4 linked regions of the Struthio camelus genome follow. The protein of the gene in region 2 purifies or fractionates together with the protein of the main gene of each other region. This does not show direct contact. Links are inferred from orthologs where the notes say so. Each region holds a gene or a part of one and is shown on either strand. Other genes may lie near its edges.

The links.
Region 1: the proteins of SNRPE (region 2) and PRKRIP1 purify together in Homo sapiens (co-immunoprecipitation; 3 studies listed by BioGRID and IntAct, counting the BioPlex papers as one, with this or other methods). This does not show direct contact. The link is inferred for Struthio camelus from reciprocal best matches to the Homo sapiens genes SNRPE and PRKRIP1.
Region 3: the proteins of SNRPE (region 2) and DDX46 purify together in Homo sapiens (co-immunoprecipitation; 3 studies listed by BioGRID and IntAct, counting the BioPlex papers as one, with this or other methods). This does not show direct contact. The link is inferred for Struthio camelus from reciprocal best matches to the Homo sapiens genes SNRPE and DDX46.
Region 4: the proteins of SNRPE (region 2) and SNRPA purify together in Homo sapiens (co-immunoprecipitation; 4 studies listed by BioGRID and IntAct, counting the BioPlex papers as one, with this or other methods). This does not show direct contact. The link is inferred for Struthio camelus from reciprocal best matches to the Homo sapiens genes SNRPE and SNRPA.

The regions. Positions count from the first base shown.
Region 1 is NC_090957.1:14,350,212-14,358,158, reverse strand, and holds the start of PRKRIP1 (PRKR-interacting protein 1), read right to left. Parts: upstream 3,011-7,947; 5' UTR 2,966-3,010; coding exon 2,846-2,965; intron 1,206-2,845; coding exon 1,127-1,205; intron 1-1,126.
Region 2 is NC_090965.1:6,662,167-6,669,548, reverse strand, and holds SNRPE (small nuclear ribonucleoprotein E), read right to left. Parts: upstream 2,855-7,382; 5' UTR 2,735-2,854; coding exon 2,681-2,734; intron 2,510-2,680; coding exon 2,483-2,509; intron 1,926-2,482; coding exon 1,863-1,925; intron 1,627-1,862; coding exon 1,548-1,626; intron 794-1,547; coding exon 738-793; 3' UTR 512-737; downstream 1-511. Other genes in the region: ZC3H11A (zinc finger CCCH domain-containing protein 11A), read right to left, coding at 5,246-5,504, 6,261-6,328, 6,751-6,923. UniProt on the Homo sapiens protein: Plays a role in pre-mRNA splicing as a core component of the spliceosomal U1, U2, U4 and U5 small nuclear ribonucleoproteins (snRNPs), the building blocks of the spliceosome.
Region 3 is NC_090954.1:4,146,788-4,154,613, forward strand, and holds the start of DDX46 (probable ATP-dependent RNA helicase DDX46), read left to right. Parts: upstream 1-4,823; 5' UTR 4,824-4,999; coding exon 5,000-5,016; intron 5,017-7,767; coding exon 7,768-7,826. Other genes in the region: guided entry of tail-anchored proteins factor CAMLG, read left to right, coding at 1,655-1,846. UniProt on the Homo sapiens protein: Component of the 17S U2 SnRNP complex of the spliceosome, a large ribonucleoprotein complex that removes introns from transcribed pre-mRNAs.
Region 4 is NC_090957.1:588,457-596,265, forward strand, and holds the start of SNRPA (U1 small nuclear ribonucleoprotein A), read left to right. Parts: upstream 1-4,801; 5' UTR 4,802-5,047; intron 5,048-5,935; 5' UTR 5,936-5,957; coding exon 5,958-6,030; intron 6,031-6,274; coding exon 6,275-6,447; intron 6,448-6,535; coding exon 6,536-6,712; intron 6,713-6,818; coding exon 6,819-6,959; intron 6,960-7,245; coding exon 7,246-7,337; intron 7,338-7,431; coding exon 7,432-7,591; 3' UTR 7,592-7,809. Other genes in the region: COQ8B (atypical kinase COQ8B, mitochondrial), read right to left, coding at 510-629, 712-726; ACTMAP (actin maturation protease), read right to left, coding at 2,450-2,778, 2,895-2,965, 3,054-3,183, 3,287-3,411, 3,497-3,565, 4,359-4,570. UniProt on the Homo sapiens protein: Component of the spliceosomal U1 snRNP, which is essential for recognition of the pre-mRNA 5' splice-site and the subsequent assembly of the spliceosome. U1 snRNP is the first snRNP to interact with pre-mRNA.

The sequences.
Region 1 (7,947 bases), on a different chromosome or scaffold from region 2:
TCAGACTTTGCAGAACATCCAGACAGTAAAAGAACCACAGAAATCAAGCTCATGTCCCATTTTCTTCTAGATAGAGGCCAACTAAAACATCCAACTGAGGCTGTTTCTCACCTATTTTCAGCATCTCATAAAAATGAAGGTCAACAGAAAGGTGAGAAAACCTGTCATATTACATTTTCCCATGCAAGACGAACACCACTGACAGTTTTTGTCCATTGGAAAAAAAAAAAATCCCTACAGCTGTCTCTTCTTGGCCTTAATCTGCATGTTAGTCTCACAGGAACTTTTCACATAACACTATACTCCATCTCCTCCCTGTCTCCCGAGCCATTTTTCAATGCAAAGCACAGACGTGTGCAAATATACGCTTAAAAAAAGACACCTAGTTCTTAAAGCACAGAAACTAGGACTGCAACAGGGGTGCTCTTGACTACCAATAGAGTCCGAGCGCATCAAGTGTTCCCAGATAAACAAGCCGGTCCCACTCCAGCATATGGCAAAGCTATTTGGAAATGCCACAAGGGAACTAAAATAAGCAGAACATTTTATTCTGCCTCTAAAACGAATTGTTAATAAGGATAAAAGTCCCAAATAAAGAGGGAACTTGCACATGCAGATACAATTTATACCACAAATTGTAAACTCAGTCCAAACAACCTTGACCCCATAGATAAAACGTTAAGTGTCACCAGAACACTTAGGTTGGGTTCCCTGCGTGACCATAGACAAACATGTACGAGTTTGTTTCTCAGTGACTCAGATTCAGACACAAAGCAATCAAAGGAGGAATTTCATAATTTTAAGTCTTCAGAGTACTCACTGAACTATGGAAAGGACAGATTTACTTATGCCTTGTCATCAATAAAACCAGCTTATTTCCTTGCACACAGTCAGGCGCACACTGCACACGGCAGAGTGCCTTAGGCACTGTTCGCTCTGCATTCCGACAACAAGCAGAATCGAACCCCAAGAACAAAGAAAACTTTAAAAATCAACTCTAAAAGCACATTTCACACCCCTTTTCTCCAGAAAAATGAGCAACAATAGAGAACAGCCTCTACCTCTTCTGTTACTTTTCTAAGCTTACTGCAGTTGGTCATACAGTTATCTTTAACAGTATCTTTACCCATCACATCTCTAACAAACTCCGGGGGAGGTCGTGGGGCCCACTCATTCAGTTTTTCAGGAATTGGTACAGTCTTTTCCTGCAAGAACAAACCAAGCAGTCATTAGTATCTTCTCAGAGCAAAGCCTGCAACTTTAACATATTGTTGAAAGGTAGTGTACGTGTGACAACAGACTCTTCCCCCAGCTGACAGATCTCAGAAGGAGCAGAGTTGTAGTAAGTTCTTCACGCGCAGGGATCAGGAGCACGCAGGAAACAACAGCCACAAGGAATCCTCCCCCCCCCCCCCATTCCCTCCATTTCAGCCCTGCAGGTCAACAAACCCTAGGAAGATTACAAGGGTCCGCACTTCTTTTCAGTACGGCAATTGGAGGAGGTAAGTTAGTACCCCCGTGTACTTGTGGAAAGTGGCTCTGTTCCCACTAAAAGCAGTCGGGAAAAAGAGGAAAGGCATTTGTGCACCTTTCATCTCAGCTAAGATGAGGGAGGGCAGGGAAGGCAGGGAACGCTTGGCGCAAGGTCAGAGGAAGAACGCAGGGCGGGAGGAAGGCTCCGCACACGGATGGGAGGCTGAGCCCCATCCGGCACGCAGCTCCCCTCCGGACAAGGGTCAGAGCCTCCAGGCGGAGGAATCGGGGTCCAGCCCCATGTGTCACCGTCCCCGTTTCTCACCTGCCCCCGACTCCCATTAAAAGCATAGGGCAGGAGAGCGAGCAGAGGGAGCCCTGAGGGCGCAGGGGGCCCCTCCGCCCCCGGCCCCAGAGAGGGGTCTCTCCCCTCCGCAGCACGGGGCAAGGAGCCCTTGGTCCGGCTGCACGTGGGGACCAGCGCTGCCGCCACCGCTCGGGGGGTCCTCTCGCCCTCTCCCCTCACGGCACCCCCGGGGACTGGGGTCTCCCTCGCCCCTCACGGCGCCCCGCGGGGGGGGGGTCCTCTCGCCCTCTCCCCTCACGGCACCCCGCGGGGGGGGTCCTCTCGCCCTCTCCCCTCACGGCGCCCTGGAGAGGGGGGGGTCTCTCGCCCTCTCCCCTCACGGCACCCCACAGGGGGGGGGTCTCTCGCCCTCTCCCCTCACGGCGCCCCGCAGGGGGGGGGGTCTCTCGCCCTCTCCCCTCACGGCGCCCCGCAGAGGGGGGGGGGTCTCTCGCCCTCTCCCCTCACGGCGCCCCGCAGAGGGGGGGGGGTCTCTCGCCCTCTCCCCTCACGGCGCCCCGCAGAGGGGGGGGGGTCTCTCGCCCTCTCCCCTCACGGCGCCCCGCAGAGGGGGGGGTCTCGCCCTCTCCCCTCACGGCGCCCCGCAGGGGGGGGGTCTCTCGCCCTCTCCCCTCACGGCGCCCCGCGGGGGGGGGTCCTCTCGCCCCTCACGGCGCCCCGCGGGGGGGGGTCCTCTCGCCCTCTCCCCTCACGGCGCCCCGCGGGGGGGGGTCCTCTCGCCCTCTCCCCTCACGGCGCCCCGCGGGGGGGGGTCCTCTCGCCCCTCACGGCGCCCCGCGGGGGGGGGTCCTCTCGCCCTCTCCCCTCACGGCGCCCCGCAGAGGGGGGGGGTCTCTCGCCCTCTCCCCTCACGGCGCCCCGCGGGGTGGGGGTCTCTCGCCCTCTCCCCTCACGGCGCCCCGCAGGGGGGGGGTCTCTCGCCCTCTCCCCTCACGGCGCCCCCGGGGAGCGGGGGTCTCCCCCTCGCCCCTGACGGTCACCCCCGCCGGGGCCGGGCGCCCTCACCGGGTTCCTCATGAGCCGCTCGAGGCGGAGGCGCTGCTCCTCGGCGGCGCTGCGCGGGATGACGAGCGGCTGCGGCTCCTTGCGGGGCCGCGGCGGGCGCGGGGCCGAGGGCGCCGCCATGCTCCGGCCTCCGCCCGCCGCGCGGCCGCGGACTGATGGCGTCAACGGCGCGCGACGGGGCGGCGCCGCCCTGGCGTTGTGGGGGCGCCATGGCGGCGGCGGCGGGAGGAGGGGGAGGAGGGGGGGGGGGTACCACGATGATGGCGGCGGCGGCGGCTGCAGCCCTTCGCTGCACGGAGGCTCCCTGGCCCCGGCCAGCTCTGGCGCTGCGGAGCAGCTCACCGGAGCGGCTTTACCGCGGCGTGTTCATTCTCTCAGCTGCCCCCAGCGCGTTGCCCGGCCCCGTCGGTGCCGTCGCCACCTCCGAGCGGTGCCCCGTCCCGGCCGGGCTGCGGGCCGCCCCGGCGCGGCGAGTCCTGAGCGTTTCACACCGGCCCCCTCGCCCCGGCCACGTGCCGGCCCCGTGACAGCGAGCGCGATGGGGGCCCTTCCTCGCGCCATCCGCTCGTCCCGCTTCCGGAATTAAACAGCGCTGCCATGGCGGCCCCGCCGGCTTCTGTCCGCCGAGGGCCGTGGAGGGCGGCGGCGGGAGAGGCCGCCGGGCTTCGCCGAAACGGTGCCGGCGGCGGCCGGGAGCGGGGAAGAGGAGCCGGAGCTGGCGGAGATACCAGCTCCCCCTCCGCAGCCAAATTTCTTGTGGAGCCGCGGCGGCCCTACCGAAACGGCCTGGCGCGGGCTGAAGGGTCAGCCGCAGTGGCAGAGGGGCACGAGCCTGTGGGCGGTTTAGTGAGACGGGCTGGGGCGGCGAAGCTGGGCGCCGGGTTTCGGACGGCTTCGTGCTGTGCGTGCGGAGAGGGCGGCAGAGAGGCGGGCGCAGAGGGTGAGCGCAGAGGCCCCTTGGCAGATTTATGGATGGCTCTCACGACCTGAATTTATTAAGGCCCCCCCGGGCTCTTCCCCCTTCCGTGAAGACAATCTGAGCTCAGCCTTGGGTCTGTGTTTACAAAGGACTTTTCAACCTCTTCTGAGGTTGCTATGGAAATAGCAGTGGTTTGTTCCTCGCGTTTGTCTTACCAACCTGATTTGTAAAAGAATGGTGTGAATTTAGGGTTGGCGGTGGTCCCAGCTGGCCGCGCTGGCCTGGGAAGGGAAGGGAAGGGAAGGCATCCTTGCAGTCACAGCCCTGGCTGGAGCCGTGCAAAGGGCTGCCGCCGTGCTGCCTCCCAGCCCGCCAGCTCCTGCCCCCGCGGCTCCCCCAGCCCCGGGTCCCACTCTCCTGCCTGCCAGGAGACACCGGCGCCGTTTGCAGAGGCCAGGCAGGCACGCGCCCCCGTCGCCTCTCGCTCAGACTTGCTGCAAACTGCCTGAGTCTCCGCTTCCCTCTGCTCTGCTGAGTCTTAAGCCCACCACAGGCCACTCTAGCTCAATAGCCCGTGAGGTGACACCCGTTTCTCCTTGCTGCCGCGGCCGCCTCTGCAAACCACAGCCTCCAAAAGCAGGGCTCCGACATGTGGGGTGAGTGATGAGCTGTCAGGTCTCAGCCCTGTCATGCCAGCCCCGCTGGAGAAGGCAGAGCGGCAGCACGCAGAGCCTGCAGACACAGTTACGACCCGAGGGGCCGTGGGAAGCAGCTGGCCGGCTCGATTCGCTAGCCCAGAGCATGGTTTGTGCCGGTGACAACACGCAGCCCTAGGAAACAACAGGCAGTTGCCTGTCATCCAGCACAGCCCACACAAACAGCGCGGGCAAACAGACCTGGGAGCAGCCAGCTCTCAAACCACACGTCTGGGGAATTACTGCTGACCCTTGATGTATTATGCACGTGTTACTTTTAAGATGTATCTGGGGGGAACAGGATCATTATTTGGGGCATATCAAAATAGGAAGTATTTCACCATGCCATTAAAAAATGCAAACGCCCATGAAATCAGAGCGCTGGGCTGGGATCTGAACGGAAAAGAACTACCAGGGGTTTTGCGTTAGAGCAGGAAAGTGTGTTCGCAGTTCAGCGCAAACCAAACAACAAAATTCAGCTCCCTGATCTGTATCAAAGAAGCGTCTTTGTGTTTCAAAGCAGAGGTGTTATGAGGTGTTTTCTTAAGAAACAGGATTCTTCTGGAAGCACGTTAAGCTTTTGCTCAGACAGGTCCTGTGTGCCAGTCCGGCAGGAGCAGACACGGACAGCTCTAACGCCCAGGTGAAACGCCGGCGGTTGCAACGCTGAACGCCCTTCGCATCCTTCGCCGGCTCCATAACATCAGTGAGCGCGCGGCTCAGCCCCAGCAGCCCCGCAGCTCAGCCCCCTCGCTTGCTACGCCTGTTTTTTCCTTGTCTCGCTACTGGATCTCTGGGTTTGATGCATAGGACTGTCATGTCCTGTCCCTGCCCTGCCCTGTCCGGAGCGCTGTGAAAGCAAAGTAAAGCATGTTTTTTCCGGCAATCCCACCTTCAGGCACAGCCTTCACCACCCGCCTGGTGGGCACGAAGGAGGAGCTCATCTGCTCTCGCCGACGGCTGTTACCTCGCCGGCTGCCCAGCTCCCGACGCGTGAGCTAGCCAGAAGGGGTTAACGCGCTCTGGAGACTTTTAGGGAGGGAATTTTTTCATGAATGGCTCGTGATGCAACCACGGCCTGATCGCAGAGCGGAGTCGCTCCCGCCGCCCCCCAAAAGCCACGTGTTAGCTGTGTCTGGGAGCCGTGTCTGTCACGCCGCTCAGCTGTGACAGCGCAGTCTGGGACAACGTACCAGCTTTCCCAGGGGAGCCTCAGCAGCAGACAGCACGCCGGAAAGCGGTACCCACGGCAATGCGTGCGGCACCGCTTGCCAGGAGAGACCGTGGCAGGGGAGGGGGAAAGGCACTAAGGTGAACGCGGATTCTGGGAGGGCAGGGTGCTAGCACGGGCCTTCGGCAAGGGAGGAGCATCTTCGCTCCGCACGGCTGCTAATTCAGTATTATCTACGTTGGTGTCTGCTTCTGGGTCAACTTCACTAGTGACAAACCAAAGAAAATAACAGACCAGGCGGAGAGGAGATGCATCCACCCACTGCCATGCTGCGGGACGAGCGCGCGGGGCACTGCCAGGAAGGGAGCTGGCAGTGGGACCACCGTGGCCAGCCCAGCGGGAGTCTGCTAGTCGGAGGGAAGAAGAGAAACGACAGCTCCTGTGATCACAGGTGCCGCAACGCAGGCTGCCGGGCTGGTCTTCCCGGCAGGGCAGCTGGGGTCTGGGGACAGCGCTGCTTCCCCTTGCGAGAGGCGGGTGCGCAGGCACACGCAGCGTGCGACCCTGCCCCGTGCAGCCTGCACGCGTTCCCCCACCAGCCTCCACTTCGCAGGGACAAAACTACCCCTCTGCTCTGCCCCCGGTGCGCTGGACCAGCTCCGCTGGGGAAAGGTGGTCTGAGCCCTGCTGCGGCTGCCTCGAGATGAAGGGGTCTACACACATGCGACCCATGCTCTCTTCTCTTTTGTCACATAGCCAATCCAGGAAAGGCCCAAGCTCTTGTTAACGTGCTGTCCTTTTTGCAAGTGGTTTTATTTTAAAACTGGAACTCAAGTTCTCCATTTGTTTAGCAAGTCACTTTTTAAAATAAAATTAATTTATTCTACAGCACAGTAAACTCTTCCAGACTCTCCCCTATTTACAAATTAACATTTTTGCTTGCAGATCGTTGCTTCCCCCTCCTTTTCCTATCCTGCGGCGCAGAAGATGAAAAAGCAGCCAACACACAAAGGTCTCTAAGGCAGCGCTCCCATCCACAACCATCTGGCCTGTTGGGACCTTGGAGAAGACCAAGGGTGATGATGTCTGTGCCGCATCCGGTGCTCCCCCCGTTTGCCATGTGTGCATGAAGGAAGCAGGTCCATGTTAAACACACCGACCAAGAGCATCTGGCCTCTTCCTGCAGTGCTCAGTAGCGTCCCGATAGCTGCGCAGGCTCCTCTGGGCATCTCCAAGCCAGGTAGCTGTGCCGAGCAAGGGCTCATACCGCAGCCAGCCGCAATAGCTGCGTATTGGGGTGAAGGTGGCATCTGCTGCAGGAATGAGACCTGCCAGCCCTCCTCCTCACTGTGGCCCGCACACCCACCCTGCTGCAACGGCAGCTCTTATGTGGCGGGAGAGGCAAGGAGCCTCCAAGACATGTTCCCTGCCCTCGCGAAGGGGGAGAGACAAGTGGCTCAGGCAGGAGAGCTGGGCACATGTTTTGCTAGCTCGGGGAAGAAGGCACCTAAAAAAAAAAGCCCAACCCAAAACTGCCCAACGGAACAACTCTCCAGGCAAATTTAAGAGGTCTTGAGCCAGATTCTGGCTCTGCTCATGCCCTCTTTGCCCTCGGGGGTCCCTTCCAGCTGGGCACAGCTACACAAGAGGACGTCTGTCCCGTGGCGGTGGTGGGCTCTGCTGTGCACCGAGACCCACCACGTCTCCAAGCCCCCCGCGGTGGGTAAGAGGCAAACTGGCAGGGATGCGCCACTGCTGTCTGCAAGCAAAGTCTCTGCCCTTTAGGAGGGTCTCTCGTCCCGCGGGAAGCAAACAATCCCCGTAAGCATCCTGGCCTGTAAAACCACCCGTAAGGGCTTGAGAGACCCAGAGGGAAAGCACTGACAGCTGTCACTGCCGCTGCAGCGCCCGGTCCCTCCTGAGAGCCGTGCCGCTACGAAAGCCGACTGCCGGCTGGGTTTACCCCTGCCGGTCGGCCCTCTGCCCGGGGGGCGCGTTAGCCACCGGGGAGGGAAATCCCGGCTGACCACACAGTCAACCTGACCTGACCCCCCCGACTCGTTTAGCTGTTAACGCGCCTGGAAGCAGCCCCCTTCCTCTCGCTCCTCCTGGGCATTTCACTTTCTATAAGAAAAACAAAAAAAAAATCTTCAAAAGCAGCTATTGAAGATCCGTAGTGTTTTCATTTCTGGGGAGCCCAGCCGAGCACCTGCCCACCGCCTCTGCCACCAGGCCGCTCATGCAACGTGGGCTCGCTGGCCTGTTTTTCCAGGCTTGCCATCGAGGGATGGAGATTATTGCCTAGCCACGGCAGCAA
Region 2 (7,382 bases):
TATCCAAACTAACTCCATCTGAAGATAAAAGTTACTTTGAAAGCATGAAGAACAGTAAAGTTTGCAAATGTCAGATTATTATACTACAGCCCCAACTCCCTTGCCAACCCGCTAACAAACTTGTAAAGACTGATGCACAAGGAGCACTCCTGTACAAAATCTCAGGAAATTAGGTGTTTTTTCCTCAAGAAATTAGGTGTTGGTTGTTTTGTTTAGAAAATGTCTCAGGAAGCTGTCATAGCGGGCACTGAGGGCTGTAACTGCATATTCTTGTATTCTTGGGGAAAATCTATAACAACTTCACTAGAACCACGCAAGCTCAAGGACTGCACGTGGCTCCAGCATCCTTTCCGAACAAGTCTATCTTGTCAACATAACGCAGATTTGATGTTCCAGAACACAGAGTTGTTTCTCTTATCAGAAACTGCATAGACCCATGGTGAAAAGAACCCCAAACACATTTCTCCCCTTCCTCCACTCATAGAAGGACATGAGACTGAAAACAAGCAGATTTATGTTTACAGTTAACATGAAAAATGTTTATTTGTGAAATACATCTTTTATGGTATCGAAGTTAAAAAAAAATACTCCCACAAAGCTACAAACCATTTTAACCTCAGCATGCAACCCCAGCTACACGTAGCTTCCTATCTACCAGCAGCTCATGTTCCCATGACCTAGCACTTTATCCGCTCTGAAGCACAGTAACTATTGTTCTAAGGGAAGAACAGCAAATTCTAGTTAGAAACACTTTGTAGAAGAGTGATATTGTCCCCTTTTAACATGATCCGACCTGCAACACAGAGAAAGGAAAGGGGGAATTAGAAAGATCCCAGGGTCTGAGAATAACCTCATATTTTCAAATAACATTTCACAAAGGGAAAGATGTTTGCAAGAAGATGCCCACATGATAACTGACGAGTTTTTTTTTCAGACTACGGTCACAGACAGTCTCTTCCTTGCTGGCCACACCACAGGACTACAAGCCTGGCAGCACATGGCCCACGTGCACAGTTCACACTACAGCGTATCAGACACAATCTCCATTCTAGTGCTCTGCGCCCCAGCAGCACTATGCCCCCGGTAAGAGCCTGAACACATCGCTTGTCACAGACCGTTGCTTATCTTCATCAGCAGATGGCAAATACTACATACCACCACTTAGGTGGTTCCTTGCTTTGACTCAGAGGTGGCACAGCACGTGTAAAAATTTCTTAGAGATATCTGTTTTAGATGAAGCTGAAAGGAGTTTTGCCTGAACTCCTCCAGCCCTGGCTGCAGGAAAAAAGAGAGAGATGCAGCACAGACCTTACATTGTTACACACATTTAAAAGCTGAAAATAGGTCTCAGGCACTGACAGATTCTCCTGTATATCCAACAAAACCACCAAATCAACAAAGAGCAGGCACACAGATCTAGCCAGTATCCTTCCACTATACTTCAAACTCAAAACTCTTCACATGTTGTGTATTTTAAAGCGCTGCCATTTGGAAGGCTCAAATAACCACGTTTCAGATCATGCATCGCTTAGGTTATACAGACATACCGAGCTGTTTCCTTGATTTCGTTTTTGAGTGAATCTCCTCTGCGTCGTCCAGAACCAAGTTCATATATTCATCAAAGCCCTAAAAAACAACAACAAAAGCAGTTAGCGAGCTCAGTCTCCTACTCTTAACTTCAGCAACAGTGATACGAACTATCAATAAATATGCTGACACAGGCTAGACAATTAAGACCATTCACTGGAGGCATAAGGAGTGCTCTTTCAATCTGTGCTAGTTTCCCTTGACGAGAAGAAATAGAATCTGTGACTCTGGAGAAACTAACAAAAGAAATAATAAGGGTACCTCCTGATACTCACAATGATGCATCCTTCTATCCGCATGTTCACTTGCTCATAGAGCCAGACCTGGATCCTGGACCTCTGCAAAACGATGGGGGAAGAGAGCAAAATACGAACATAAACACCCCAAGCAATTTTGTTCCTCTCTCCTGTAAACTGAGAGCTCAGCTGGATCCTTACTACCACCAGCCACCGCAGCTCTATGGCTACATCCATTCAAAGGACAAACTCTCAAATATGGTCTCAATCACGTCCTCAGACATCTTTTAAGATGTTTTTCTCAGCGATTTGGAAAAGTCGTGGAAGCACATGTACGAGCCTGTATTTTAAAACAGACACAGAAGAACGGCCCTGCTCGTGTGACGTGATGATCAAACTCCCACTAGGGAGGTAACCTGTGAACGTGTAAAGGAAATCCTCAACTTGGAACCTGCTGTTCTGTACCCGAAAGATAGCGAGCTCTTCAGCTACCAGAAAACGGCTTTAAAAAACGTGTGTGTGGAGGGGGAGGGGGAATTCCACCAGCCAAACCCGCTGCTGTACCCGGCAGCAGCTCCAGGCCCTCGCCAGGGCCGGGACTCCTCTCGCCCCCCCCCACCCCCCCAAACCCCGTCCCGCCCCCCGGCCCCGGTACTCACGTTTTGCAGGTAGCGGAAGATGAGGTTCTGGAGCGCAGCGTTAAGGGCAGCACCACGGCACGGGGCACGGAGCCCGGCAACGACACGCCGTCCCCGCCGCCCGGCCCGCTCCTCCCCGCCGCCCCCCCCCCCGTCACCCCCCCACGGCCGGGAGCGGAGGCCGCCGCGGCCCTGCTCTCTCCGCCGGCGGAAGGATACGATGGGCTGCACCATCACCTTCTGCACCTTCTGGCCCTGCCCGCGGTACGCCATGGCCGCTGCTCCTCCGCCGCCGCCGCCGCCGCCCGGGCCCGCCGCCAGGCACGCGCTCCCGCCACCGCCACAGCCGCCGCCGCCGCCGGAAGCCGCTGGGCACGCCGGGAGAGCGCGCGGCGCTCTGGGACTGCGGGAGGACTTGGCGCGCTGCCCGGCCGCTCTAGGACCGGCGGGAGGACCGCCGCTCGACTTGCTCCGTGCGGGGCCAAAAGGGTAACCAGAGGGCTGGGGCGAGGGGGGAAGCTCAGGGGGGCAGCCCAGCTCTCTGCCCAGGACCAGGGGGCCTCAGGGAATGAGGGAGGAGGGTCCTAGCCTCCACCTTTGGGGGCCTGGGGAACTGGCCCCCTCCAGCCCTGGGGGGCTTAGCAAAGCAGGGAGGTGCAGGGGACTGTCCCCCCACCCCAGCCCAGGGCAGGGGTTGGCTCCAGCACCCTTCAGCCCCTGCTGCTCGGCCCCTCTCACCTCTCTGGGTGCAGGCAGACCCCCCCCCCCCCAAACACCTCCGGCTGCTGCAGACAGACCACGTGTCACCAGCTTTCCTACGCCAGGTTTATTTAAAAACACCTGTAACTGCCATCACGTAGAACAGTTCAACTAATGGTGAACGTGGAGGAGCTGGACTACATTTAATACAATACCTTAAATAGAATACAAATATAAAATGAAAGAATAAAATATTTACAGAAACAATGGCATACACAAAATCCCGTCTCCAGGGACAGAGCCTCTCGGCTCAGAGGCGGCAAAGGCTGACAACAGAAGAGAATATTCTGCTTAAACAACAGCAAGGAGAGAAAAAGCAAGGGGGAAGTCTTCCACACCACGGTCTCTCACGTGTGCTTCTCTCCTCCTCAAAGTCACTTCTGTCTGTGCACAAGCAGCCAGAGCTGGCAGAAGTCGCATCATGAAAAAGTCCTTCAGCAGGATAAAGGGCAGCGCTGTCCTGCCCACTTTGTAGGAAGTTTCCAACTTGGTGACCCTTCTGGAACTAGAACAGCAGTTTCTTCAGAAAGGGCTTTGCTAATTTTGGTTCAAACTTTTCCTCTAGGAACTAAGACATCACAGTGGATTATCAAAGCACACAAGTGTTTTCTTCCAAAGAGAAAAATATTTACAATAAGCTAAACAGCTGATTTTCCTCTGCCAGCAGCAAACGCCTGAGGGCCCCTACAGCTTCACAAATCATAACAGGAAGAGACTAAAGTTCTCCAGAAATTTAAGAAAATAATTAAAAAATATATCTGCTAGGGAAAATGATCACTGGTGGCAGGGTACACAATAGACCCCAGTCTCAGCTATTTTCTGCAGGGTCGCAATTTCAGACTGCGCATTCAGATGGCCAGTAACCTCCCGTCCCGACTCCAATGCGTACTTCTACATGGAGCTCAAGCCTCAAAGGTGCGTTGGGGGTATAGGGGAGATGAAAGGAAGGGAGCCCCAGGACATGCCTAAAAAGGAGAGCACAGTCAGTCCTGCAGCAGTACCAAGTACCAAGATTGCTTGTCTGGGCACCGGCCTCCTGTTGGTTCAATGCCACAAATGACCACCCGATCAGACAGATGCCACATGGCCAACAGGAGTTCAAATAAAGCTGACAGTCAGTGTTTTAATGTTAGCCCTAGCAGCTGTCACTTCCCAGCAGAAGAGCCAGCAACTCAGGGGAGTGATTCCTGGAACCAAGAGGCACTTAAACCAATTCTTCATTTACCAATTTACTGCAGACTATAAGAGGAATCCTGACTTCTCAACCCAGAATCCTATTCACTTCAGCAAAAAGCACCAAAACCCCCAAGCTTTGATACAGTACAATGAAAGGGGGGGGGAGGGTATTCTAGCTGTACTGTATAGCTGCTGCTTTTCACACTGACATTGTGTTATCCCTGATAATCGAGGAGAAGTAAGGCTGGATGGACTGACTCCAACCACCACCCTTGGCAGCATGTTTGGTCCAAAATGCAAGAAGTAATCATTCTGCTCCCTCCCACCCCTTCGTTTTCATTAATTTGCCCTAAAAGAGTAAAGTCAAAATGATAGCATACATAAATAGAAATCAAGAGTTGACATAGTAACTCCAAGCTTTAGCATCAACTGTCCAAGAAATCAGAATGCAAAAACCTTGAAATACACCCAACGTTGTGTTTTGCCAAGGGCAGGGGAGGCAGGGAAAGAAGCTTTAAGTTTAAGCCTTCAGAGCATCACTGACTCAGTAGATCAATTCACAACCACCACAGCTTGCAGATGGGCATCTTTCTGGTCTGAAATAAAGAAGTGCTTTGTCCTCTTAATATTGAAGGTAGCCACCAATAGTAACAGAACGGATGCGCAGGACTTGAACTCTGACCAGCAGGGAAATCTAGGACAACTGAGTGCAGATATTGCCAATTTCTACCAGTTCAACTGTGCTTTAAGACTCATTGCAAAGCCTCAGCTAGAAAAAGGATCATCTCAGGGTATCCAACAAAATATACAGTTTTAATTTTTTTTTTTTGAAACAGAAGAATATGCAGTTCAGCTGTCAATCATCTCAGAAAGTTCAAGAAGGAGGTCATCCTCATCTTTCCCTGGGTCCAGATCAATTTCTGCTTCTAGTTTGCCTCCTGAGATTTCCCAAATAAGCTTCTCAAAGTCATCTTCTACAGATAAAGGTGCTTTCCCAGCCCCTGTGGAGCTTAACCGGCGCGTCTTTACCACTGCTTGTGAAGAAGTTGAGCTTGAGACCTCTGACTGTGCCACAGAATCTGCCTGGCTTACAATATGCAGTTCAGCACTTGGGAGAACAAGAAAGAGAACAATCAGTATGTGATATTCCTTAACTAGAGATGCATTTTCTGCCAACTAGCTCTTAAAACTGCAGCTAATCCCTCCTACACTTTACACAGGGATCATTATTCAATCAAGCTGGGGCTACTTTAGGTTCTCATACACTAATATTAGCAGATACATTTTCAGTTTGAGGATTCGTCTGTGAAAACAGAACAGCTGGAGATCTGGCAAAGACGGTTCAATTTTTGTAGCCAGAGACACTGTGCCACATTTACTAATTTGACTGTTAAGAGGTCAAGGAGTCAACCTCTGCAAATACCTGTTTACTATTTTAGTTATTTTTCCCATGACATGCTCTGCAGACTTTGCTCCCAAATACAGGAAGTTGATCCTCATATACCATCTCTCTCTCCTCTTCCAACAGTCTTTGCCCAGATGTATGTTTGGTTCTAGAGAATGCCATTGCAAAGAAAGAGGTCTTCCTCCATCCCGACCCATCTCCAACTTCATCTCATCTTCATTCAAGTTTTCAGATAACCCAAGAAGACACTATCAACTGGCAGCACTTTAAAGGGAAGCGTCTAAATAACAACTCCTTCCCGCTGCTGGAAAACGCATTCATATGATTTGTCCTAGCAGAGTTCTTCATTTGATTTTGGCATTAATCATCTCAAAACTCTAATTTTTCCACATGTGAAAGAACGTATGTTTCAAGTGAAAGCCACAGTGACCCAGAAAAAGAACAAGTTTTGGTTGTCACCTGTCTTTGGGTTTTTCTCTTTCAGGTATAGTGACCAAGTTATCCTCTGGCAGGGCTGGAACAACAGCCTGGGAAGAAACAAGACAGTGTTTATGACACACAAGTAAATGATTTCTTAGCAGATGCTTCTTCCACACTGCTTCTCCTCTGGCATTGCTGAGCCTTAACCAAAATCCAGAGCCAGGGCTTTCCTGAGAAAAGTTGATATTAACTTCAAGCTTTCCAACGACCTCGTATTTTTTAAGAGCGCAGCATTAATGGAAAACACCACATAGAAATCATACTAGAGTATTATGAAAACACTGTCATGCCTCTAATAAAAAATAAAGAGGTACAACAACCACCCTGCAGATCGTTACTGGACCTAAGAGGGAACAAAAGACATACAGAACACCCGTTTTCCATTTTTCCAACTTTTGTCCAAGAGGAGGGTAAAACTGAAGCATAAATTTTACTAGGGACCAGCAACTGTCTCAGCTAGCGTCCTTACCACAGTTGCTTTTTTAGCTGGAGGCTCCTTCATGTCACCACCACCAGTGCTGCTCAATGGTTTCACAGCTGCCACAGCAGAGGGATGACTCTCAGCTGCCCTACGTTTCAGGGCCTGCTTTGTAGGGGAGGTGGCTTTCCCATCCGATGGCTTCATGCTCGCCTTAGATTTGGCTAGAACAAAAGGAAAAGAGAACTGATATAGTCTTGCTCTGCCACAAGAAAAATCCAGGTTCTCTTAACGTTCCCATAATCCTTCCTCAGTTCATTAAAATATATTTGGCAGCAGAACTGCACTGCTATTTCCCAGACTCTCAGTAACATTTGATATACAGAGAACTGTTTACTCACAATCCATAAAGAGGAGCAAAGAAACTCAACAGCAACACTAAATAATAGACCAGGACAAGGAAAACTCAAACACAGTGCAATCTTAAGTGAAAGTAGTACTTTTTCTAAAGCACAGTATGGAGTCTAAGAAAGTTCACAAATAGAAACAATTTCTGTATTTAAAGAGCCTTGATTTCTCTAGAAAAAGTAGCAGCTACGATAAGACACGAGATAGTATGCTACTGCCGTATAAGCTCCCCTTTCTCTTGCAGTCACGACCCACAGAATTTATTAAGCTATTCT
Region 3 (7,826 bases), on a different chromosome or scaffold from region 2:
TTAAAATGCTTTTAATTTAAATTTCTGCTTAGATTGTATTGTTTTATGACCAATAATTTTCTCCTTGCGTTTTCAACTGTGGAATTGGGAGTTATCGAATGCTATTAGTTAATACTAGTTTTTAATCTTCCCAGATTTAGTCCAAATTTTGTTTAAAGTTGCTGTGAAAGTGAGGACTAGCACCTTACTTAGCTGTAGCCTAATTGGAAGCATCTGCCCAGGAAAGCCAGGTAGTTTTTCTGTGTCTTTAGGAAGCTTTTGTTTTCCTCCCAGCCAGTACTGTTCTGCAGTTACTGATGTTAGCTCTGTTGACAGCCATGGTGTATGTGATGTCTGAACAAAATTGTTTCAAATTACAAAATGAGACAGTCCCTGGCTTTTAAGGGCTCTGTATTCCATTGCTAATGTTGGTTTGAGTGAAGACTTGAAATAAGCAATATATTTGTCTGTGAAACTTCCTGCTTATCAGCAAAATTTGCTGTATCCCTTTGTATGTTTATGTCAGTTAGTTGTACTGAAGTTTGTCTGGAGTTTTTTTTGCTTGATGATTTTGTCAGGTCTATGTTGCAAAGCAGGATTAAATGATGCTCAATCCATAGTTGAAGGGAAGCATTTGCATTTTATAAGGAATATTAGATAAACTGTAGAAAATCAGAGTAAATGAGTAGTAGTTCTTTTATAGTTAAGGACGTAGTTGAAATCTGAACTTCATAGCAGTCATTCTAAGGTGATGTGTCAAAACACAGAACAATAGAATTAGCCTTAGACTTACAGTAGCTTATCTGCTAGATCTTTTGATCTCTAGTTTCTGCTGTTTTTAAAATCAGCTATTCAGTTTTAGAATTTAAAGAGGTGGTTTCTTTCCACAACCTGCTTTTCCTGCAGTTGTTATACACAGATGAGCTCAATCAGCTTACTTTCCTTCATTCTCCTCTCACCAGGCCTAGGAAGATTCTTGAATGCTTAATTTAGATTGGATCATATTCAGATATCCAGCAAATATTCTTAAATTGCTAAAACTTTGAACTGCTTTTCAAACTTGTTTGCCTGCCTGTCCGACCTCTTTGCGTCTTCAGGCTCCTACACGGCCTTACCTTATGGACAGAAAAGCAGCTTTGAGAAGGGCTTTTAGAGAGATTTTTGAGTTCAGAGGCTAAAACTACCAAATGGAGTCGTACTTGATGAGAAAGGAGCAGTTGGTTTTCAATTCTAAATCATATTTCTATGTTAGAAAAGTAGCAGTTTCTTTTGCCAAGTAGTGTGATGAGGTTAATCCTGCTCAGCAAGTGGAGATGCCTGGCTTGTGTTCACGCACCTGAGCTTCCCTTGTCTGGGACTCTTGCCACTCATGCTGGGGCAGCTGCATAGCCACGCTTTACAGTCTGTTGTGCCAGCGTGAAGTAGGCATAGTGCCCGTGGGGACTTGTATCTGCTGTGAACCGGACTCTCACTCAGCTCCATTGGATCCATCATAGCCTGAATCTCTAGCTAGGATGTGTTGTGAATCCTGGAGAGAATCAGTCCCAACCTGCCACTCTTACCCATGGATTTGGAATGCGCTTGGCTGTGGGTGAAACTAGCACAACATATGCAGTCTTTAAAGCAGAATTGGATTATAACAGAAGAACTAACTTAATATTGTTTTTTCTTTTAGTGTGAAAAGAAGGTGAAAACGACAGTACTAACTGCAGCTCTTTTACTATCTGGAATCCCAGCGGAAGTGATTAGTCGCTCCATGGACACCTACAGCAAAATGGGAGACGTTTTCACAGACCTTTGTGTCTATTTCTTTACTTTTATCTTCTGCCATGAACTTTCTGTGTTTTTTGGTTCTGAAGTACCCTGATGGCTGTAGAACTCAATGCAGTAGTTACACGAAAGCTTTCTGTTCTGTATTCCTTTAACATCTGACTGTCCAAGCAGGTTTAAACCTTAATTAAAATTCTTACTGGTTTGAATGCTTGAAAGGAGCCTTGAATCCAGTCATTTTGGGAATGGAAGAACAGGGTCCCAGGCTGCCAGTTGTGTTAGTGCAGTTTATTTATATTCTGTGTCTGCCTCTTACAAATACGAAGAATAGGATGCAAGTGTCAGTAGATATATTTTGTTTTGTTAGATGATGCCCTTCTCACCCTCCTTCATAAACACTTACAAAGCTACCTTTGTTTTTTGTGGAGAGAACAAAAAGAAGGGATCAATTTTCAACAGAACCGTGTATGTGTGTATATATATATATATATATATATATATATATATTTATCCAGTACGGCTGTAGCTAGCAAGCTCTGCTCAGTTTGTGTTACTTCCATTTTCTTAACAAAAGCTCTAAATAAAAGAAATCCCTATATTCTGTTGTTCCAATTCAGAATGCTGAGGCAAGCAGCTGCTTCTGGAGAATGTTGGTGAAACATGCCACTCCATTCTCCTAATCCTTGCCTTGCTATAAATTTGTTGTGATTGTGATGAATTTCATTTGATGATTCTAGTGCAAAACAGCTAAGCAAAAACAAATATTATATATATATATTTCCTTTTGGTCTACAAGTGTCATCAATCAAAAGTAGAAAGAAACGAAATTCATCTCAACTGTTTGTGAGTTTCCGGCAGCCTGTTAATCCTAGCATAGCTCATACCAGTGTTTTCGTTCAACCTCGCCACCCCCCCCCCCTTTTTTTTTCTTGTAGCAATAGTTTACCTCATGCAGGGAAAGATGTATATATTGGCAAGCAACCCGCAGTATAAAACATTTGCTCCGTATATGTAAAAATTACAAGGGAACTGTTGTTTTTCTAGCTCCTTGCAGGTTTGCATAAGACGATTTTGAATGTGACATTAATTTCTGTATTTTTTTCTCTGTTTATTACCAGACATTTGCATGTAAACAGGATCTCAGTTGCCTAGGAGTTCTGCTCCTGCTGCTTAATAGTACTACTAGCCAACGGCATATACTCTTTCATTCAGCAGAGCTATTTATATGTTAACTGATTTGCTGTCTTCTGTCCTGTGTTTTTGAAATTCCCCAATTCCCACAGAAAAATCAATGTCTGATGGGAGAATAGCATCTTAAATTTTCCTGTGGGAGTGCAGCCCCATAGGTGAAAAAGAAAACAAATACAAATGAATCCTACAACTGGGAAAAGTAGCAAGCTAGTGAGTGTTGTCTTGTTTCAGTCCTATAAGATTTTAATACAGTGAGAGGAAGGTGGCTTCATTCCAAATAGCCAGCCTTTCATGCTGACAGTCTGTAAAAATGTATGTTGAATCTCAACTTGATGTTATCATCAGCTTGTAGTTTTCCTATTAGAATTGGGACTTTCAGGTAATCCAGGCTAATATTTGTCTTTTTTTTAAGTGTAGAGAGACACCTAGTTACGGTGATAGCTGCATACATTTTAGGGAGCAAAACTCATTGTGTGTGTTTAAAATAAATGGCTCTGCTTTCTGCTTAATCGTTTCTGTTAAAGCTGCCTGCTGTAATCTTAGCACTGCATTTCTGACTCCAAAGTCAGATATGTGTTTGTGGCATGAAAAGAAGAAGCTTTCGTTATGGATTTGACGCTTTCAGTTTTTACTTGTTATTTTATACTGAATATCTTGTTGCAGATGTCCAGGTCTGGGCTGTAAAAGATTCTGACTTAGGTCTATTAGCACAGATATTAAAAGGTTCTGGCTAAATATTAGACAAAAGTTTCAGCAGGTTCAAATAGCTGACATTTAAGTTAAGGTTGAAATACGTAAGTAATGAGTTTGCTCAAAAATTATTCTTTCGCTTATATGCCCAAATGTAAAGACAAATAAATTTCGAAAATACCAGGTACTAGCGTCTGCAAAAAGCACGGAATTTCTAGTCCTGAGCACAAATATTTTAATCCTGATCAGCTAGTTAATAAGAAAGCAGGTGACCCACCTGCCTTATTGTATTTTCACACAGCCGCTTTTAGAATCCTTTTGCATAAAAAATGATTAAGCAGGTTATTCTCTCAAGTGGTGAAAGAAATGTTGCTACGAGACCTAATCTGGGAACTTTTCAGTCTGAAAACACCTGGTTTTATGTGACAAACTGTTCAAGATGGGATTGGAATATGGTCTTCCTGTCTCTTAAGTGAATATACATAGAGCCAGCAGGGACTTCACTAAATTACTCTTTGCCTTTGATCAAGAAATGAGTCTCCTTTTCCCCGTTTTGGCTTACCTTTGTTTATGTACATAATTCTATTTAATGTTTATTGCTAAACTGGTTGTTTTCTATTAAAAATATATTTGTTACCCCCCCCCCTTCTTCATTTCGTCTGTCGGCCTACCATCCTTTGTTGTAAAAGTCACGGTTTATTAAACGCGTGCCGAGTTGGTAGTTCCGCCAGGAACGCTTTGACCCTCCTGAGAGCAGCGGGAGCCCGCGCCCGAGCCTCGCCGCTGCGCCGGCCGTGGGCCTCTCCCCTGTAATTCGCGTTTGTCGCTTATGTTTAGTGTCAGCTGTCAACGGCCTCTTAAGAGGGGCAGTCACAGCAGGGCTGGCCGACGGCTGAGCGGGCTGTAGCCTCGAGGGTATGAGAAGAAAGGGCGTCGAAGCCCGCGGGTGGCAGGCGGCGTTGGCTCCGGCCCTCCCGTGAATCGATTCTGCCCCCGGAAACTTTGGCTTTTGGCCGGCGGTGAGAGCGTGCAGGTGAGGGCTGTGATCAGCGGGGCAGCCAGGCCCCTGCGGTGAGCCGCCGCCACCGCGTGTCCCGAGGACCTTTTGCCCCGGTTGGGTTAAAACAGGGGAAAATCGGGGGCCGCCGCCGCTTTCCCAGCGGGCTCCGGAAGCGGCGTTTGCCGCGCGGGGCGGCGGCGCGGCCTCCGGCCGCCAGGGGGCGCCGCGCCGCGGCGGCGGCCAGGAAGGTGTGTGTGTCGGGGGGGGAAGGCCGCTTCCCGCCGCGGCGCTTCTCGTCGTCCGGGGCGCTGGGGGCGCGGAATGGCCGCCGCCGTCTAGCGTTGGGCTCGCGCCGCCGCCGCCGCCGCCATGGGCCGGGAGTCCAGGTGAGGCAGCGCGGGGCGTCGCGGCCCGGCCAGACCCGGGGCGGCGGCCGGGAGGCGCGCGGGGAACAAAGGGCCGCGGCTGGGCTGGGCTGGGCTGGGCTGGGCCGGGCGCGCCGCGCCGCTGAGGCGGGACAGGCCGGACCGGGCCGGACGGGACCGGTCGGGACCGGACCGGACCGGACCGGACGGCGCTGCGCTGCGCTGCGCTGCCGTCGCCACGCCGCCCGCCCGCCCGGGCTGGTGGCGGCGGCCCGCGGCGCGGTCTGCGGCCGGCGGCGAGGAGCGACACCCGCCTTTTGGGTCGCGGTAACCGAGCGGCACCAAACGCCCCTTTGGCCTGCGCGCGTTCGCTTCCAAACAGTAAGAGCCACGTCCCTCACCTGGCAGGCGTTATTCCCCGTTAGCTCTTTTTGTTTTTTTTCCTTTCTCCTCCATATTCCGTTTTAAGTTCACGCCGGGTCACGTATCTTTTGTCCTCTCTCAGCTCGGATAAGCGTCGCGGTAGGTGTTTGAACCGGCTCAGCAGTAACGCGCTCGCGGACTCGGTGCTTCGGAGCAGACCGGAGCGGTTCAGAGCTGGTGCTAAGCCTGCCAGGTTTTAAATCCTCGTAGTAGTTTGCAAGTGCTCTTATAACATATATCAGTTTGTGACTACTAGTTTAGTTTACTCCTGGTTAATTAGCTTAATTAGCTTAGTTATAGGGGTTTTATCGCTGAAACTGCAACGCAATAAAAATGCATACTTTGTGTCCCTACCTGCTGGCGTCCCTACACTGCGAAGACATCCTAGGTTCATAACTTAGATCCCGCCTGACAGAGGCAAACGAGTTGAAATTTTGAGTACCGTCATGGGTTCAAACTGGCGATTCACTGCAGAGCTGTGTACTTAAAGAAGAGCTGCGGACTCAAAACCTTGTCCTTTTTGGCCTGTTGTGTCAGCTCGTCTAATAAAAGCCCTATGGAACTTGCCTCCGGGGTCACAGCCCCTCGTCGCTGAGAAAAGGGTGCACGCGTGTTTCAGGCAGCGACCGAACACGGCTCCCGTAGATACAGCTGAGTGAGTTTCAGACTAGTTAGCTGAGCGGTTGTTAGCTGCTGGCTGCGATGCTCGCACGGGACGCGGTATCTGCTGGGGACCCAGCTCCAAACTGCTGGCGCTCGAGCCGGCGGGGCTCCCTCGCTTGGCACAGTTCAGCTCCTCTTCTGATAGTGCTGCCAGTTTTTGTCGGGCTCTGAGGTCATGCTGAGCAGAAACGTATTTATCACACGAGGCCGCAGGCCTCTGAGGAATAATTCTTTTACAAGCAGGTCCTGCAGGCCCCGCTTCTCCCAGGCCCTGATGCGTACACACGTTTTTCTGTTTGTGGGTTTGGATAATGAGCTGGACCAAACAACTGGCTAAGAATAATCTAAAAAAGTGGAGTTTAATTTGTGTTATTTCTCTAGTTTATTGCCTGAAAACAGAATCTTCTAAGTAGAACTGAAGAGATGGTAAGAGAGTGAGAATGAGTGGTGGGTGGAGAAGGGTGGGGTGGGCTGCATGTGCTGGAATTGCTGTTGAAGGAAATGGTCAGCAAGGTAGAGCTTTTGAGACTTGAAATAAGATACCAGCCTCACTGCACACTCTAGAAACAAACATACCAAATACCGGGGGGGGGGGGGTGTGGGGAGGGGGCGGGATGTGGAGCAGCATTTTAGTGACAGAGATGAGGAAGAAATCGGAGATACCTGATGCTGACAGATGTCCTGCACGTTCAGTTGTACTGCTGATAGGCAACGCATTGATATTGTTGTGATTCCAAACGTGTATGATACTTGAATATACCAACATACGGAAATGAACTGTGTTACTTTTAGTGCCGATACGGTTGTAGTATAACCCTATGTGGTAATGAGGAAAAGGGAGGAAAGAAGTCAAGGGCTTGAGGTCTTGCTTTCTTTGCTTCTTCCTGCTTCCGACGCATTGCTACCAGGCTGGTGGGGTGAAAGGGTCTGTGGTCTCGGACTACCAGAGCATGAGGGAGGGAGGAAGAGGAGATGGTCCCCGTAGAGGTCCCTCTGTAACTTGTACGCTGAGGTGAAGAGTTTTGAGAACAGCTCCTAGCCCAAACCCCTCTCCCAGTTTGACTGGGATAAGAGAGCATTAGTGGAGGGCGAAAAAGAGATGCCCATCTCCACCACAACCCTTGAAAGCCTTGCTAACTTCTTGAGGCTTGCGTTGAGGTGTCTGATGGCGTTATGGAGTTTCTTTTGGTGTCAGCATCATAAAGGAATTGACCACTGCTGCATCACGTATGTTCCTTTAGTTGCAGTTTGACCACTTTTCCCTTGAACAGAGGTATAACTTACTTGGCTTACTTGGGTGAAAAGCGACAAAAATTAGTTTTACCTGTTTGACAAATTTGATGACGCACCTTCAAACAGTTGTAGGCTTTTCATGCATGTAACAACAATCAGTGGATTTCTAAAGGGGCAGTTATTTTTCTTGATGTTCCAGTGTTCTCATAGTGCTGTTACATCAGAGCTCAAAAACCAACGAAAAATATGACCAAGTAATCCATCCAATTTTGACACCATTAGGAATATGTTTGCATTAATCGTTTTTGCAAGAATGTTAAAAATGTTTAGAAAGTGAATAAATCAAAGAAATTAAGTGATTTTTTTTTTGCTCTCCAAGTAAATATGACAAATCTTTTAACTGCTAGTTTTTCTCATATTCGCATTCATCTTTTTTATGAATTTACAATACAGGCATTATCGGAAGCGCTCTGCATCACGTGGACGCTCTGGTAGCCGTTCTAGAAGTCGTT
Region 4 (7,809 bases), on a different chromosome or scaffold from region 2:
GGCGTGGGGCAGGGCTGGGCACGGGAACGGGGGGTCGAAGGGTCCCCGTATGGGGGGGAGCAGGGGGTCAGAGGTCACAGGGTCTTTAAACAGGGGGAACCAAGGGGTCAGAGGTCTCTGTCTGGGGGGGGCCAGAGGTCACAGGGTCCCTCTCGGGGGGGGGGAACAGGTCAGAGGTCACAGGGTCCCTGTCTAGGGGGAACCAAGCGGTCAGAGGTCTCTGCTTCGGGGGGGTCGGGGGTCTCTAACGGGGGGGGGCATCAAGGACCAAGGTCAAAGGATCACGGCACGGGGGGTCAGAGGTCAGAGGGGACCAGGGGGTCAAAGGACTCTGCTTAAAGGGGTCAGAGGTCAAAGGGCTTCATCATGGCGGGGGGGGGGGCGAACCATGGGGGTCACATGAGCTCAGTGCGGCCGGGGGGGGGGGGCGGTGTCAGCGCTTGGGGCCAAAGGGTCTCTGTCCGGGGAGGGGTCAGGGGCAGGGGTCAGAGGTCAGGGGTCAGACTCACCCTCTCGCCGCCGGGGGGGCTGCAGGGGGCGGCGGGGGGGGTCCGGGGCCTCCCCGGGGGGGGTCGCAGCGGCGCCGCCCCCCCCGCGGCCCCCCGCAGCAGCGGCCACACGGCAGCCACCTGCGGGAGGGGTCAGAGGTCACGGCCCGCCCGCCCGCGGGGGGGGGGTCAGAGGGCAACAACGGCCGCCGCGCCCGCTCACCCCGCTCCGCGCCATCGCGCCGCTTCCGGGGTCAGCGGCCCCGCCCCCGCCGCCGGCCAATCAGAGCCTGACCTGCCTGCCGGCGGGCGGCCAATGGGAGAGGAGGGAAAGGGGAGGCTCCGCCCCCTGCCGGGAGGGCGGAGCGGCGGGGGGGGGGGCTGCAGGAGCGCGCATGCGCTGCAGGCTGCGGGGTGACTCTCTCCCCCTCTCCGGCCCCATTGCACCCTGCACCCCATTGCACCCGGCCTCATTGCACGCTGGACCCCACTGCACCCGGGACCCCATTGCACCCGGCCCCACTCCACCCGGGACCCCATTGCACGCCAGCCCCATTGCGCCGGGGGCCCCATTGCACCCTGCACCCCATTGCACCCGGCCTCATTGCACGCTGCACCCCACTGCACCCGGGACCCCATTGCACCCGGCCCCACTCCACCCGGGACCCCATTGCACCCTGAACCCCATTGCACCCGGGACCCCATTGCACTGGGGGCCCCCCTGCACCTCAGCCCCATTGCACCTGGCCCCACTGCATCGGGGGACCCATTGCACCCGGGACCCCACTGCACCTGGGACCCCACTGCATGCCAGCCCCATTGCACCCTGCACCCCATTGCACTAGGGGCCCTATTGCAGCTCAGCCCCATTGCGCCCGGCCCCACTGCATAGGGGGTCCCATTGCACCCTGCATCCCATTGCATCCAGCTCCACTGCACTGGGGGACCCATTGCACCCCAGCCCCATTGTGCCTGGCCCCACTGCACCAGGAGCCCCATTGCAGCCTGCACCCCATTGCACCCTAGGCCCCATTACACCACAGGCTCCATTGCACCCAGGACCCCATTGGAGCTGGGCCCCACTGCACCGGGGGCCCCATTGCACGAGTGGACCCATTGCACCCTGCACCCCATTGCACCTCAGCCCCATTGCACCCTGCACCCCACTGCACCCAGGACCCCATTGGAGCTGGGCCCCAGTGCACCAGGGGACCCATTGCACCCTGCACCTCACTGCACCCATCCCCATGGCAGCCAGGGCCCCATCGCTCCCTTCATGCACCTCCCAGGGGTGCTCTGTCCCTGCTTGCCAAGCCCCGCCCCTCCCCAAGCCCCGCCCCCCCATGCAGCCCCAAGATCAGCAGCGGCCGCGACCCCTCTGGGACCCCCAGGTAGCCCCGTTCCCAGCCGGTGGGTGGGAAAGGACCCAGGCGTCCGGGCCCCACCCCCAGGCAACCCCACCCCTGCCTCAGCCTCCCCCTTAGCCAGCGACAGGGCCGCAGAGGGGACCCAGGTGTCCGGGCCTGCCTTGGCCGTGCCTCAGTTTCCCTAGGCTGGCTCCCAACGCTGCGCGCGGAGCAACGGCGTCGGGGCGGCGCGGGGGTCCGCTGCGGTGCAGCGGGAACCGACACGAGCACGGCTCAAACGTTCGCCTTTAATCGCGTGTGCGGCCAGGGCGAAGCAGCGTGCGCGAGCCTGGCGCGGGCTCGGCCCTTCTCCGCGCCCGTTAACGGCGCTTCCCGGAGGCGAGCGGGACAGCGAAGCCTTCCCCGGACGCAGCGGCTGGATCGGCAGCGGGAAGTGTCCTGGCTTCCCCCCTCCGCAGCAGAACCGGGGCGTCTTCTCCCTCCAGGACCGTCCCCTGCCCGCGCCGGGGGGGGACGCGGCGGCGCAGAGCAGGGCGGGCTCGCCGGCAGCGAGCCGGGACGAGGCCCCGCGTCGCCCCCACGTCGCGGCGGTGGCTACACGCCGGGGGCCGGGGGGTGCAGCAGGACGGCCTTGCCGCAGAGCCCAGCCCGCACGCCGCCCGCCGGCACCACGTAGACCTTGCCGTCGCCCGCCCGGCGCGGGCTGAAGTCCGTCAGCTGCGCGTTGCTCTCGTGCAGCCGCCCGTAGCCCCAGAGCTGCACGCGGCGGCTCTTGCCCTGCTTGGCCAGCAGGAAGACCTCGGCCAGCTCGTCGTCCGGCGGCAGCCGGGGGGGCCCCGGGCCGGGGTGGAAGAGGCCGGGGATCTCGGCGTCCTCGCGGCAGCCGGGGCTCAGCGCCGGGCTCCTCGCACCCAGCAGCGCGCCTGCAGCGGAGCCGCCGTCAGCTCTGCCGCGGGGCGACCCCAACGTCCCCGCAGCGGGGCCAGGGGCTCCCTGGCGGCGTCCCCCCCGCCCCGCTCTGCCGCCGGCGCGGACGTACCTGAGACCACGGCCCAGTGGGCCTTGTGGCCCTGGCGGCAGCAGGGCTCGTGGTTGCTGTCCTCGTCGTAGCTGGGGCGGGCGTTAAGGGGCACAACGGGGGCAGCGCGGCGCGGAGGGGGCCGGGGCCGCGCGGCTCTGCCCGGCGGCGGGAGGATACGGCACGAGCAGGGGCCGGCCGGCGGCGAGGTGCCGCAGGATCCGGGGCCGGTTGTCCCCCTCCAGGCCCCCCGAAAGCAGCTCCGCGCGGCACGGGAACAGCTCCTGGGCCAGCGTGGCCATGTCAGCCGCTGCGGGGGCACAGAGCGGGCAGGGAAATCCCGGTGGTCCCCGCCGCCGCCCCGGCACGGCGCCGACGGGGCTCGGAGCGGCCCCCCCGCCGGCCCCCCTCACCTGAGAACATCTCGCCCTGGGCGGTGAAGGCCCGGTCCCGCGCCGCCTGCACGATCTGCTCCAGCGAGACGCCCTGCGACGGCTCCAGCAGGGCCCCGGCCATCCACAGGGCCACCAGCCCGCACCTGGAGGGGGCCGAGCGGGGCCGTGGGTGGCCGGGACCCCCCGGCCCCCAGCCCCGGCCTCCCCCCACCCCACCTCGACACTTACTGGGGGCCCTCCTGGATGAGGGACGGCACCGGGCGGTGGACGAGGAGCCACTGCAGGTCGCTGCTGAAGCTGGGGGGAGGCAGAGGCTCAGCAGGACCCTGGTGACCTGCGGGGGGGGGGGGGGAACATGGCCCACGCGGGGTCCAGGACCCCCCCCCCCGGCCACCACAGGGGGATATCGCCACGGTCCGCCCCGGGACCCCCCGTCCCCCAGGTCAGGCCGGGACCCCCCGTCCCCCAGGTCAGGCCGAGCTCCCCGGGTCCCTCCTTTCCCCTGGTTCATGCCGGACCCCACGGACCCCCCATCCCCTGGGACCCCCCATTTCCCTGGGTCATCCCGGGACCTTCCAGGACCCCCAATTCCTCAGGACCCCCCCATTCCCCCGGATCCATCCCAGGCCCCGGGACCCCCGGGACCCCCCGGGTCAGGCCGAGCTCCCCGGGTCCCTCCTTTCTCCTGGTTCATGCCGGACCCCAGGGTTCCCCGTCCCCCAGGACCCCCCTCAATCACCCGGCTCATCCCGGGCCCCTCCGGGACCCCCAATTCCCCGGGACCCCCCATTTCCCCGGGTCATCCCGGGTCCCCCCATTCACCGGCACCCTCCTGTCCCCCGGGACCCCCCATTCCCCCGGATCCGTCCCAGGCCCCGGGACCCCCCGCACCCCAGGCCCCTCCGGGACTCCCAATTCCCCAGGACCCCCCCCATTCCCCCAGGTCCATCCCAGGCCCCGGGACCCCCGGGACCCCCCGGGTCAGGCCGAGCTGCCCGGGACCCTCAATCCCCCGGGACCCCCCCCGGTTCATCCCGGCCCCCGGGACCCCCCGGTTCAGCCCGGGACCCCCCCGGGCCCCGGCGCCCACCTCTCCCGGCGCCGCCGCAGCAGCTCCCGGAGGTCGCCGCCGTCGCGGTCCGCCGACTCCGCTCGCTCCAGCGCCTCCCGCAGGAAGCGGCCCGGGGGGGGCGGCGGCGGCGGCGGCGGCGGCGGGGGGGGGGGCGGCGGCGGGGGGGGCGGGGCGCACCGGGCGGGGGCGGGGCCTGGCGGCAGCACCGCCCCGGCCCCGACCAGGGCCATCCCCTAGGCCAAGGTCAAAGGGCGCCCGGGCCGGAGGTGAGAGGTCATGGCGGGGAGAGGGGTCAGAGGTCAGGCCGCCGTGCGGCAGCAGCACGTGCCCCCGCGCCGCTGCCCTCGCGCGTGCTTCCGGCCTCTGCTCCGCCCCTTCCGGGCCCCGTGACGGAGCCGGCCAATCGGACCAGACCTCGCCGACCGCGCTCGACCAATCGCGCAGGTGGTGGGCGTGGCCGCCCGCCGCTCCGCTGGGGAGGGGGCTCCTCAATCCCGAGGGAGGGAGGGGCGGGCGGCTCCCAGGCTACGCGTTCTGATTGGCCGCCCCGAGACGGGTCACGCGGTTCTCATTGGCCGCCGAGCTAGCGCCTGCCGCGTTCTGATTGGCGGCCCTCGCTATTGGCGGGCGAGAGCGAGGCGGGCGCGCTGCTATTGGCGGGCGGCGAGCAGGGCCTGGCGGCGGCGGCGGCGCGCTCGGGGCCCTCGGTGAGTGGCGGCGGCGGCGGGTGCCGCCGGGGCGCGGGGCGGAGCGGGAGGGCCCGGGCGGGGTGGCGGAGGCGGCAGCAGCCCCCGCCGCCACCGGGAGGGGAGCCGAGAGGCTGGACGGGCCTCACGGGTGTCTCCACATCCGGGTCCTCCCCCCCCCCGACCTTTGGGGGGGGGAAGGACCCGGATGTTCCCCCCCTCTACTGGGAGGGGGAAGGACCCGGATGTAGTGACCCCTGGGGGGGTATTGACCCCTTCCTCTCCGGGGGGGGGGGGTCAGGGATCCTTCCCCCCGCCCCGAGCCCGGCTCTGGGGCCCGGTTCCTCCCTGAGCCCTTGATCTGGGGGGGGGGTCTGGGGTCTTCCCCCCCCCCCCCAGGGGGTTGAACCCTACCATGGGGGTGTCTCCTCCCTGAGCCCCTGATCGGGGGGGGGGTCTGGGGTCTTCCCCCCCCGAGGGGGTTGAACCCTCCCATGGGGGTGTCTCCTCCCTGAGCCCCTGATCTGGGGGGGGGGTCTGGGGTCTTTTCCCCTCCTGGGGATATTTAAAGCTTTCCTGGGGTTTTTTCCTTCTCCAACCCCCTGGATTTGAGGGGTCTGGGGTTTTGCTCCACTCCAGGGGAATTTAATCCTTTCCTGGGGCTGTTTCTTCTCTCAAGCCTCTGGGTCTGGGGTCTTTCTCCCACCTTGTGGGACACGCCTAGACCCTGGACCCTTGCAGGGACCTATTAGCCCCCACGCCAGGAGGGCTCGAAGGGGGTGACCCTCTTGTTTCCCCCCCCCATCATTTGCACCCGGGTTAGGGTTCTCACTGCCTGTGGGGGCACAACTGGGACCCGCCGTCCCCCAGTGCCGTCGCAGCCCTCTCCAGCCTGGTCTCTCCTCGCAGATCCAGGTGTCACGTGTTCAGCATGGCTGTCCAGGACGCACGCCCCAACCACACAATCTACATCAACAACCTCAACGAGAAGATCAAGAAGGATGGTGAGGGGCGGCCTGAGCAGGCAGAAGGGGAACGCGGGAGGGGTGAGGGGATCCTACCTTCATCTAGGCCCTGGGGTGCTTGTGGAGGCAGCTTTTTCTTTGGTTTGTCTGAGAAAGGTCAAAGTTGTTTGGCTGCAGAGGGAAACGGCCCATCTGTCTCCAGGAGGAGGCCTGCTCTTATGAGCAACAGCTGCTCATTCTCCTTGCTGCTCAACACGTGTCAGACTCGAACTTTGTCTCCTAGAGCTGAAGAAGTCCCTTTACGCCATCTTCTCCCAGTTCGGCCAAATCCTGGACATCCTGGTGTCCCGGAGCCTGAAGATGCGGGGTCAAGCCTTCGTCATCTTCAAGGAGATCAGTAGCGCCACCAACGCGCTGCGGTCCATGCAGGGCTTCCCCTTCTACGACAAGCCCATGGTGAGCCCTGCCCACCGCGCTGCCGGGAGCCGGCCCCCTGGGTCCGCAGTGCCCCCCTGACGTGTTTTCCTCTGCCTTCCCTCCGCAGAGGATTCAGTACTCGAAGACAGACTCGGACATCATCGCCAAGATGAAGGGAACCTTCGTGGAGCGTGACCGCAAGCGGGAGAAGAGGAAGCCCAAAGGCCAAGAAGCTTCCTCAGCCAAGAAAGCGATCGCTGGGGCTGCGGCTCCGGTTGCGTCCGCAGTCCAGGGAGCCGTTCCCGTGAGTCAGCTGCCCGGAGCTGCCGCAGAGAGGGGATCGGAGCGCCGGGGCCGCGCTCGGGGCGGGTGTCGGGGGTCTGGGCGTTGAGCTCGTCTCTCTCCCGCAGGGAATGCCGCCGATGAACCAGGCGCCCCGCATGATGCACCACATGCCAGGCCAGCCGCCCTACATGCCGCCACCGGGCATGATCCCGCCGCCCGGCATGGCTCCCGGTGGGATCCCTCCCGGGGCTATGCCCCCCCAGCAGGTGATGCCCGATGCCCGGACAGATGCCCCCAACACAGCCGGGGGCTGGGCTTCTCCTAGCGCCCCAGTACGGGCACTGGGAGCCCAGGTGCATGCGGGCCGAGAGAGAGTCCAAGGGAAAACGTGCCAGCCCCAAACCTCACAGGCTGCAGGGTGGCCCTGTCGCAGGAGAGGGGCAGGGAACGGGACTCGGGGCCTTCCCTCAGCTCCTCTGGGAGCGCTGCGGGAGGCCAGGAGGTGCCCAGCTTCCCCCCAGAGCCCCTCCGGGCTGACTCCGGCTCTCTCAGCAGCTCTCGGAGAACCCGCCCAACCACATCCTCTTCCTCACCAACCTGCCCGAGGAGACCAACGAGCTGATGCTCTCGATGCTGTTCAACCAGTGAGTGCAGGCCGGGGCCGGGGAGGCTGCGGGCACGCGGGGAGGCACGGCGGGGGCGGTCGGGGCCCCTCTCACTGCCCGTGTCCCCCGCCAGGTTCCCCGGGTTCAAGGAGGTGCGCCTGGTGCCGGGCAGACACGATATCGCCTTCGTGGAGTTCGATAACGAGGTGCAGGCGGGAGCCGCCCGCGACGCGCTGCAAGGCTTCAAGATCACCCAGAACAACGCCATGAAGATCTCCTTTGCCAAGAAGTGATCTCGCAGGCACCGAGCTCCCAGGACTGCTCCCTCCCCCTAGCCCTGCCTCTCCGTCCCCAGCCAGCCCCCTCTGCGGGGCTCGCTCGCTTGTTTTTCCCTCCCCTAGAAGGTAAGTCTGTCCCCGAGGCTGGCTGAGTCTTTGCCCCCCAGCCCCTCTCCTTCCCCCGCGGCACCCCGGGGTCGAACGGAGCCGGACCTCCGCCTGCCGCATCCACC